Linked DNA regions of Neurospora crassa OR74A. The main gene of each other region encodes a partner of the protein of the gene in region 2 in a complex. Links are inferred from orthologs where the notes say so. Each region holds a gene or a part of one and is shown on either strand. Other genes may lie near its edges.

Region 1 (4,343 bases), on a different chromosome or scaffold from region 2:
GCCCTTTGTCTACTGTTTATGAGGACCAAAGTGTTACCATTGCTTCAGCCAAGTGTCCTTGAGAACCCTTAGCTACTGACCGTAGGTACATCGACGAATGTATCCATCTGTGAGTTATGCGTTTTGCTGAAATGGGAATGAACGTTCGCCCGACGGCGTAAAGGGTCGTCACGCTCAACGTTGGGAGCAGAAGTCATAGCAGTCGAGGCTAAAGCGCCATATGTACTTCACTCAAATCATATTGTCATTACCCAACATGAGATGATGTGGCCCTAGGTTTGGTCTTGTTGATATAGACAGCAGCAGTAGCTTCAGTCGTTGTCTAATGAGTGAGACGAAGTTCAATTCACCAATCACCAATCTCCAATCACCCTGATCAGCGCAGCCATGGACACCATGGGCAGTACACAGAGGAACTTGAGAAGATGTCTACAAGCTGGGTATATTATAAATAGACAAGAAGTTACCAAGCACTTCCTCGTTCCCTTGCTCTAACCCGCAATGGCTCAGCTGACAGATACTCGACCTGTAAGCATTGAGATGAAAACCAGTAGGGCAAACAAAATGGAAAATCAATGATGGATGAGAACCACCTCCCCAACGACCAACGTGGTTTCCACTTTTCGTTACAGTTGTCCCCTCTTCGGATGCTCCCAGCCCGAGCGCATCGCAAGTCATCCGGGTCCCTTAACCTTCATCATCTTGAAAGTGAAATACCGAGAGCATAAAGATATCCCCAGAAAACCCCTTTCAGTGTGGTTCTTCGTCACGTCCATACCAGTTCCAATGCAGTCTACTAGACTAGTGGAAGGCAAATGGCTGAGCCTGAACTGACCAAATGCAATAGACCATTCGTCATCACGACAATCTAAGCTTGTATCCAAACAAGAACGACAAGCTAATGTCTGTGTACAGGTCTTCAGACGCGACATCTGTCGAAAATCCACAATGCCTCCTCACATGATATTCATGCTATAAGGCACAATAGCCTTATCGATCACCGGCTCGCGGCGACACGTCGTATCCTTCTCGTCACCCCACTTGCCGAACCACTCCTCCTCATTCTTCACCGCACTGTCGAAAGCTTTCCTGCATTCCTCGGGCAGCAGATCCCTGATATCGTCAGGTACGGCGCTCAAGCCCTTGAAGGGAGCCAGGAAGTCGGCACGCGCGGAGGCAGCCCGATCGGCGGGCGATGTACGGAAGGGTACCTCGTAGGCGGCCGGGGAAATGCCAGCGGGTGGCAGCTCGATTTCCACGTCGGTGATGAGGAAGTTGCGGGATATGGAGGGCTTGACAAGAGGAAGATCTGAGGACGAAGACGAGGCGTCTTCAGAGTCTACCACCTGCGTGATGCGGGCATGTGTAGGTTGGATGATGTGCGGGTAGTGCATTTGGTTAGTGTGAATGTCATAGACGCCGTTCAGGTTGGCGCGGCGGACGCTGGTGAGGATGCTGTTGAAGTTACTGCGTAGAAGAGATGTTAGTGTTCCTGTGTCCGGTAGCAAGGAAACTGCCGAAGAAGAGAATGCCTACCTGGCTTCGCGAGCATGTTCCAATTGCCAGTTAACGTCGTTGACAGCAACACGTCGTTTGGTTGGGGCGACCTTGGCGTTTTGCTGTGGTACTGACGGTATATTCGAGTGATAAACTGAGCTTGCACCGTGCCACGCCACATATTGGTTCTTGTTGTAAGGCTTGCCTGGTTCGAAAATATCGTTGGGATCGGCGAGCTCGCCCTCAACGACACCCTCCTCACGGGCCTTGGCGACTTCGTAGTCATCAATGATCCGTCGTCCGCCGACAATGATTAGGGCGCCAAACTCGCGGAACACTGAACGTGCTGTCACAATACCAATCGTACGGCCCTTGTAACTGTGTGGGATGATTTCTCGCTCGATCATGTCCCGCTTTTCCTCGTCGTTAACGATGATCTTGTAGAGTTTTCTGTGTTTCGTGAAAAAGAGATACGAGTCTCTGAAGCCGACACAACGTGCTGGCTCGGTTGAAAGCATGTATAGACGATCTCCACGGCCAAGAACGGTGAATGTACGGCAACGATACTCGCGACCATCCTGAAGATTTCCTAGCTTATCGACCTTCTTCTCACCCTCCGGGTCCTCGGGAAGGTCCACCTCGTCGTTGATAATGTCGAGAACGGTACCATCTTTGTCAATGGATTGCTGGGTTGGTTGAAAATGCTGGCCCTTGCGGCCGCCTCTGCCTCTCCATCCTCCGCGACCGCGACGGCGAGGAGCGTTTTCGTCACGATTGGGGGGTTCGATCGGCAGAGTGTCCCAGTCGGGAGGTCGGTTCTTGGGTGGTCGCCCCAAGCGTCGGCGGCGGATGACAGGCTCTGGGGGAGGGCTTGGGCTCTTGCCCGACTCGTCTTCCTCTGGGGCTTCCTCTTCCTCGTGTCCATCACCACCCGACTCATCATCCTTCTCGACATCATCCTCGCCGTCTCGTTGTGATGGTTCGGCGTCGTCTTGATCGGCATCGGGCATAGGCTCATCCTCGTCGTCTAGGCCTTCGAATGTCTTTGGGGTGCTTTCTGGTTGTGCATGGCTTTGATAAGTAACTGCTTGTTTGAAATGGAAGGATTTGCGCGTGGCTGCTGCATTCGTTGGAGTGGACCACACAATATGGAATACATTTGTACAAGCAAAGGGAGGGAGGAAATGCCAAATGATAAACGATGATGAAATCGAGTAACTTACCGAGGGCCTGTTGTGCGCGTTTCGCGGCTGCGCGGCCTGATCTCCGGGAAGGCATGATTTCGAAGCTAACGTATTGTATGCTTGGCGATAAACTGTGATCGGGGTTTGGAGTGTCGGCGCAGAGCAAGGCGGACGGTTGAGTTGTGTTTGGGGTTTGGAGGTGACGATGTCAAAATTACTGAGACGCGGTTGACAGGTGGGAGACGTGAAGCCGCTGCAGTCAGTCCTGCTAGTGGTGGTTTGCGTGTGAAGCGACTGCCCATTGACCCACTTGGCGTGTACAGTGTAGTGGTCAAGCGCACTGTGAATTCCTTTACGGTGCGATGACAAAGCCCTTCAACCAGATAAACCAAGCACTGTACTGTGTAAGTCATCCCTTTGAAGTCCTGGATTCCAGCTTATGGACACATTCGACAAACCTGTCTCTTCTAGACTTCATGTTTTCCATATGGGGAGTATTGATATCTTGTATTAACTATCTTGATTCCCCAAGTCCCTGTCGGTGCCAAGTCAAATAGCAAATAACGAAAGAATTCCCCTGAATGCCTCGAGGAAAGATCAACTTTCAAACCCGAAAATGCCCTTCCGATATGCCTGGGTAAGTAGAAGCTGATCGATCTAACCTCGTTTCCCATTTTATGCTCATAGTGTGCCAGGCCCCTTTGTCCTGCCGCGCTGCAACCAGCCTCCGCAGCCACCAGCCCTATTCTGGGCATATGATAACCTGCTTCTCTTCCGACCACCAATATGCTTCCAAGCTTCTCGAAAATCCGGACGTGCCTGTGGATCGTCTTTTGCCCGTAAACCAAAGTTTAAAAGCCACCACGTTCTCAGTAGGATAACCTTGTCATCTCAGTGAGGCTGACCACCCTGTCAAGCTTAAGAAAACGCAATGCTGTCACGCCGCGATTCTGTCCCGTGGAAATCAAGAAGCGGAGCCGCCCACCAAGAGCCAACGCTCTATCCAAACTACCCGCGCACCCGAGGCCCCTAGTTCGCAGGAAGCTTGTCGAGGTTTGGCACTCCCTCAGGGAAGATCTCCTCAAGCAGCTTGTCCTTCTTGTTATAGAGGAGACGATAAGCTGTTTTGACGGTTCCGTCACTGACACCAGCCACTGTCGCAATCTCCTTGGACGTACGTGACTCGTTCCTGATGTGGGATGCCATGTAGATACACGCAGCGGCGACGGAAAGGGGAGAACGGCCAGCCAGCTCCGAAATAGTGCTGGTCTTGTCGGCCAACTGGCGGGCAACATCCTCGACCGCAACTGAGTTGCGGAAATTGAGGTTGCTGCAGTAACGAGCGCAAAGCTCGGTAGCTGTAGTAGATCCCTTGCCCTGGTATTGCTGGTTGAAGGTGGGGATGCTGGTCGTGATTGCATGCTCCTCGCCTCCGATCTTCTGGAGGAAGGATTCCAACTGCTTGAAAACCCTGCCAATCTCCTTCTTCGAAACCTTGGTCAGGCTGTAAATCTCGCGGAACGTACGCGGCACTCCCGTTTGGCGGCATGCAATGAAGATGCACCCAGCGGTGATGGCTTCCTGAGACTTGCCCTTGAGGGCCTTGTTGTCCTCGACGAGCTTGTAAATGTGCTTGGCAGCATTTGCCACCTGGGTACCAGC
Region 2 (4,422 bases):
TCCTTATTCATCTCCATTTCCTCACCGTCCTGCGCCTAGCGGTGCCCCGCCGTAAACCCCTGCTTACTCAAAAGCACATTAACACTCTCCCGCGCATTACTCGTATCCCAAACACTCCCCTTCCCACCCCTCCTCCACTCGTCGCCCACGGGGTCTTCCGCCGCCGCCCCGGCCCTCGTGGCTTCGCCCATAATCACCTCTAGATCCCGCTTCTGGCTTGACAACCAGTTCTTAACGAAGCCGACGGGGTCGTTGGCCATAGACGTTAGGAACGTGTGTTTGGCCTTGGAGTCGCCGACGGCTTGGATGAGCACCGCCAGGGACTCATCTAGCTGATGAATCTCGCGGAGCGTTTGAGCGTACGAGGGGTTGTGGATGAACGGCACCAAGTGCTTCGAACGCAAGGGGTCGTCAACGGAGACACGGATGTCGTAGATGGTCGGTTTGGGGGCGTCCGGCGCGGAATGGAATTCTTGGTCCACGCGGATGGTATAAGGGAGCTTGATGGGCGGCAGTGGTCTCAAGTGCGGGGTGACGTATTCGTTCAGCTGGGGAATGTGTCCCGACTCTCTCCCAATAAGCTTCTGCAGCAGGTCGTCGCACCGAAAGTTGCGCTTCTCGTCGTCTTCTTGTAGCTTCATCAACTTGATGTACTCGAACAAGCCCGCGACGGCTTCCTGGCGGGTTGCCTCCGTCATATCGATCACGTCCGATAGCTCGGGGGAGAGCTCGTAGCGCTCCGGGTCTTCGTGGCGGTAGAGGTTGATGGTGATGTTAACATTCTCGTCCCCGTGGCGCTTGAAGGTCAGCTCGTCAAAGTCGGCCGAGGCGGGCAGGTTGGAACCGGCGGGCGTGCGCTCGGGTTTCTTCCATTCTATCGCGGTGGTGTCGACGGGCAGACGGCCCGAGGCGGTGGGCTGGTCGAAGTCGACTGTGAGGGCTTTGAAGAAGTGGGAGAAGCGGTAGCGCTGGCCGGGCTTAGCGGGGACGGGTTTCGCTCCAGACTTTGTTGCTGTCTTTGTGCTGTCGTCGGTTGTGTCCATCTTATCTCCATCCTCCTCGTCCTTTGTGGTCTCGTCTTCGTCGTCGAGTAGTCGGCCTTCGATCTTGACGCGGTATGTGGATTCGAGGTTGGAGGGGAAGTCGAAGCTGTCGACGTTGAAGTTGTTGTTTTGCCAGTACTGGTCTTCGACGCTGTTGGTGATCCAAACGCGGAGTGTCTTATACCGCTGTTGAGTGGCGTCAGTAATGGTCAAGCCTCCTTCGAGACAAAAGAAGTGACAGTGTATACCTTTGCATTCCTGCTAACCGAATCCACGATATCCAACCTCTTGCGACTCATGGTAGCATCCAGCCGCCTCTCGAAATCGCGTAGCTTCTTGTAAGCCACAGCGACATCGCCCTCGCCCACCAAAGTCTCTTCGACGCCATCGGGTAGGGTCTTGTCGGTAGGTTTGCGACTCCGGAGCTTAGCCAGGTGGTTGACGGCCTCGCGACGGTGTGATTCTTGTTGGATTTGCGCCTGGGTGATGGGCAGTTGGTGGTGAGCAGGACCGGCCGACATCATGGGCCCTGTGAAGAGAGAAGAAAGACCGGAAGAGGTTAGTTGAATGTGTAATCAAAGATTTGCGGTAATGTGGCGGGCGAGAAAATGGGGAGAAGCCAAGGGTCGTCGTCGGGTGGGTGTAAGAGAAAAAAATAAAATAGAAGAAAATAATCCAGCGGGGAAAAGAGTATCCAAGAAAGAAAGCCAGGAAGAAAACAGGGCAAGGTGCGGTACACAAGTTTGTTGTCAAGAATTTCCTTGTGTTCCAAGATGCAAGAAGCAGGAGCGTGGGATTTCGCGCTTGCAGTGTGTATGTATGTTGAATCTTTCCCTGTTAAGCTCGTCGCGAAACCTGAAGCACCGACGTTCAGCTCCGTCGTTCGACCGCGGCCGACGGGGTAGACTTGTATGTATGTGGAGGTAGGCGGGAGGAGTGTCCAGGCACACGGCACACAAGGGAACGAACGCACGACGGGGGACCCGGACCCAGTCAGTTTGAATCGTCGCCCCTCCCACCCGTCTCCATTCAAGTCCCAAGTCCCAAGTCCCGCTTCCCAAGACTCAAAAAAGATAGACCATCGTTCCCCCGAACGTCCGGGTCTAGCATTGGAAAGGTTTGGAACTAGTCGATAGGTCGCGGTGGAGCAATCTGCAAAAAGCGGAGATCTTTGACGTTTGTCCCACGCCCGTTTCATGCATCAAACATGTCCTCTTTCCATCATCATCATCATCAACAACAACTGTTCATCTTTCCCCTTCCTCTTACGCTTGGCACTCAATCGAAAGAAAAACGAGGGATACAAAAAAACAAAGAGAGAGAAAAAAAAGAAAAAAAAACGAAAAAAGAAAAAAAAGACTTACCAATCCCCCCTCTCCTCGGCTGTGGCACATGATGCTGCTGCCCCCCTCGCGGCCCCCCTCCCGGCCCTGCATGATGATGTCCCACGGCCGCCTGCGGAGGCAAAGGGACCTGTGAATGTTGCGGCGGCCCTTGCGGCGGTCCAACAAGTTGGGGGTTGTGATGACCCGGTGGTGGTGGTCCGATGGGTTGTGGTGGTCCTGGTGCGTATCCACGGTACTGGGGCTGCAGGGGCTGCATCTTGTCTTGTCCTTGTCTTGTTCTTTTTTGTGTTTGTTGAAACTCGCGTGTACTCGATTTCGGTTTCGTGTTTGTTGCGCTGCGGGGAGGAGGAGAAGGACTTGGTAACCGAATTTCCCACTTGGTTGCTTGTCACCTCTTCTTCTTCTGCTGTATTACGTGCTTCGTGTCCTCCCTTGTAGTTGTGATTACGCGTGTAGTACTACTGTACTGAGTAGTCGGTGTTGGGTATGGATTCTTCGCTTCGCGTCGTACGTGGTTCCGTTCTTGGTGTCAAGGATGGACCGAAGGGAAACGCGTTTCGATCGCGTCGTTCGTTAGCTGCGGCGGGCGGGCTTGTCGCAAGTCGCAGTCGCAGTCGCAGTCGCAGTCCGGGGCCAGCAATTGATTGATGGAGGTTCAGAGTTGGGGTCGGCGGGTGGAGCCAGTAATTGTTAAGGCGCAAAAGATACATTGACCAAGTACCGCATCCACAGGGCAGGAAGTTTGGCAAATGTCACGTCTTGGCACTCGTGGTAGGGTCATGTGACACCCCTGAGAGAGACCAGTTGACATTTCAACGTCCAACAAAAGATGGTCAAGAATTACTTGTACTAAAAACAAACAGATAAAGAGAAGCAAAGAAAGAATCGCTGACGAGGTCACAAAAAGAAAAACCATACAACAAGAATCTAGCGTCCGAATCGCAATACCTTTTATCCAATATTTGCTTTTGCATGTACAAGGTGTGAACAGTATTAGAATTTCGTACCTTTCCCTTCTCCCCATCTTTCGCTGCCTTGGCTGCTGCTTGGCTGACTGACTGACTGACTGACTGAATGATTGCCGTCGCTGTCTGCTTGCTTGCTTGCTTGCTGTCTTTATATGCTGCTGCTGCTGCTGCTGCCTCTCTCTATTTGTTTGTTCCTTCTCATCGGATAGAACCTTGACCTTGGTTCCTCATCCACCACCACCACCACCTCCTCCTCCTCTTCTACTTCTTCGTCCTCCTCCTCCTCCAACCAAGGTCAAGGACAACCTTCAAAAAGCAGCCCCCAACCCATTCTTCGACTGCCTCCGACTGAACCGATTGCGCTTTGTAACACTGCTGCTATCATCCAGGCTCGCCTGACTCTTGGTCAGCTGATTGCGGCCCGATCGGTCACTGATGCTGTACCCGCCCTCTCCGCCACTAAAGTTTCCATGGCCCCTTCCATTGTGATGATGTCCACCTCCGCCACCGATATTCACCATGGAACCCGCCGGGCTGGACGACATGGACATGTCTCCAAAGTTGTCGTTGGAACCTACCAGGTTTTGGGAAAGCGCCAGGTCCTTGGCCCGCTCCAGCGACTCGATCCACTCGTCTACTGTAGACTTGCTGCTGCTGCTGTTGTTGGCACCGTCTCTTCCTGCTCCTCCGTCTGATGACTTGTCGGATTTGTCCTTGTGTTGTTTTTCCGAGGACTTGGGTTCTTCAAAGGTGTAGTGTACGCCGCCCTGGATTTGGGGTGTCCTTGAACATTAGCATCAATATCGATATCACCTGATGAATAAAGGGGGGAATATATATTCCACAGGATATCGGGGAAAGGGGCTGGTAATTTTACTCACCGTGTCAACACACCAAACCGGCTGGCCCTTAGCGTCGATTTGGGCTTTCCACGTGCAATCCGAAGCCAGAAGTGAAATCTCCTGCTTCGCCTTCTTCTCCTCGCCGCCGGCTGGTGCAAACACGATACGGCCGCTCGAGGTGATCATGACAAGCCGCTGTCTCTTCTTGGTGGTACTGCCGCCA

Evidence for each region.
Region 1: NCU03572 (region 2) and NCU07290 share a complex: the UniProt entries of both Schizosaccharomyces pombe proteins name them as parts of the RSC complex. The link is inferred for Neurospora crassa OR74A from reciprocal best matches to the Schizosaccharomyces pombe genes ssr3 and rsc7.

What each region holds. Positions count from the first base shown.
Region 1 is NC_026504.1:4,505,492-4,509,834, forward strand, and holds NCU07290 (nuclear localization protein), read right to left. Parts: upstream 2,910-4,343; 5' UTR 2,776-2,909; coding exon 2,721-2,775; intron 2,555-2,720; coding exon 1,537-2,554; intron 1,468-1,536; coding exon 957-1,467; 3' UTR 235-956; downstream 1-234. Other genes in the region: NCU07289 (transcription initiation factor IIB), read right to left, coding at 3,711-4,343. UniProt on the Schizosaccharomyces pombe protein: Component of the chromatin structure remodeling complex (RSC), which is involved in transcription regulation and nucleosome positioning. Controls particularly membrane and organelle development genes.
Region 2 is NC_026502.1:186,301-190,722, forward strand, and holds the start of NCU03572 (SWI-SNF complex subunit), read right to left. Parts: upstream 3,022-4,422; 5' UTR 2,646-3,021; coding exon 2,408-2,645; intron 1,573-2,407; coding exon 1,292-1,572; intron 1,230-1,291; coding exon 36-1,229; 3' UTR 1-35. Other genes in the region: stk-23 (serine/threonine protein kinase), read right to left, coding at 3,666-4,124, 4,239-4,422. UniProt on the Schizosaccharomyces pombe protein: Component of the chromatin structure remodeling complex (RSC), which is involved in transcription regulation and nucleosome positioning. Controls particularly membrane and organelle development genes.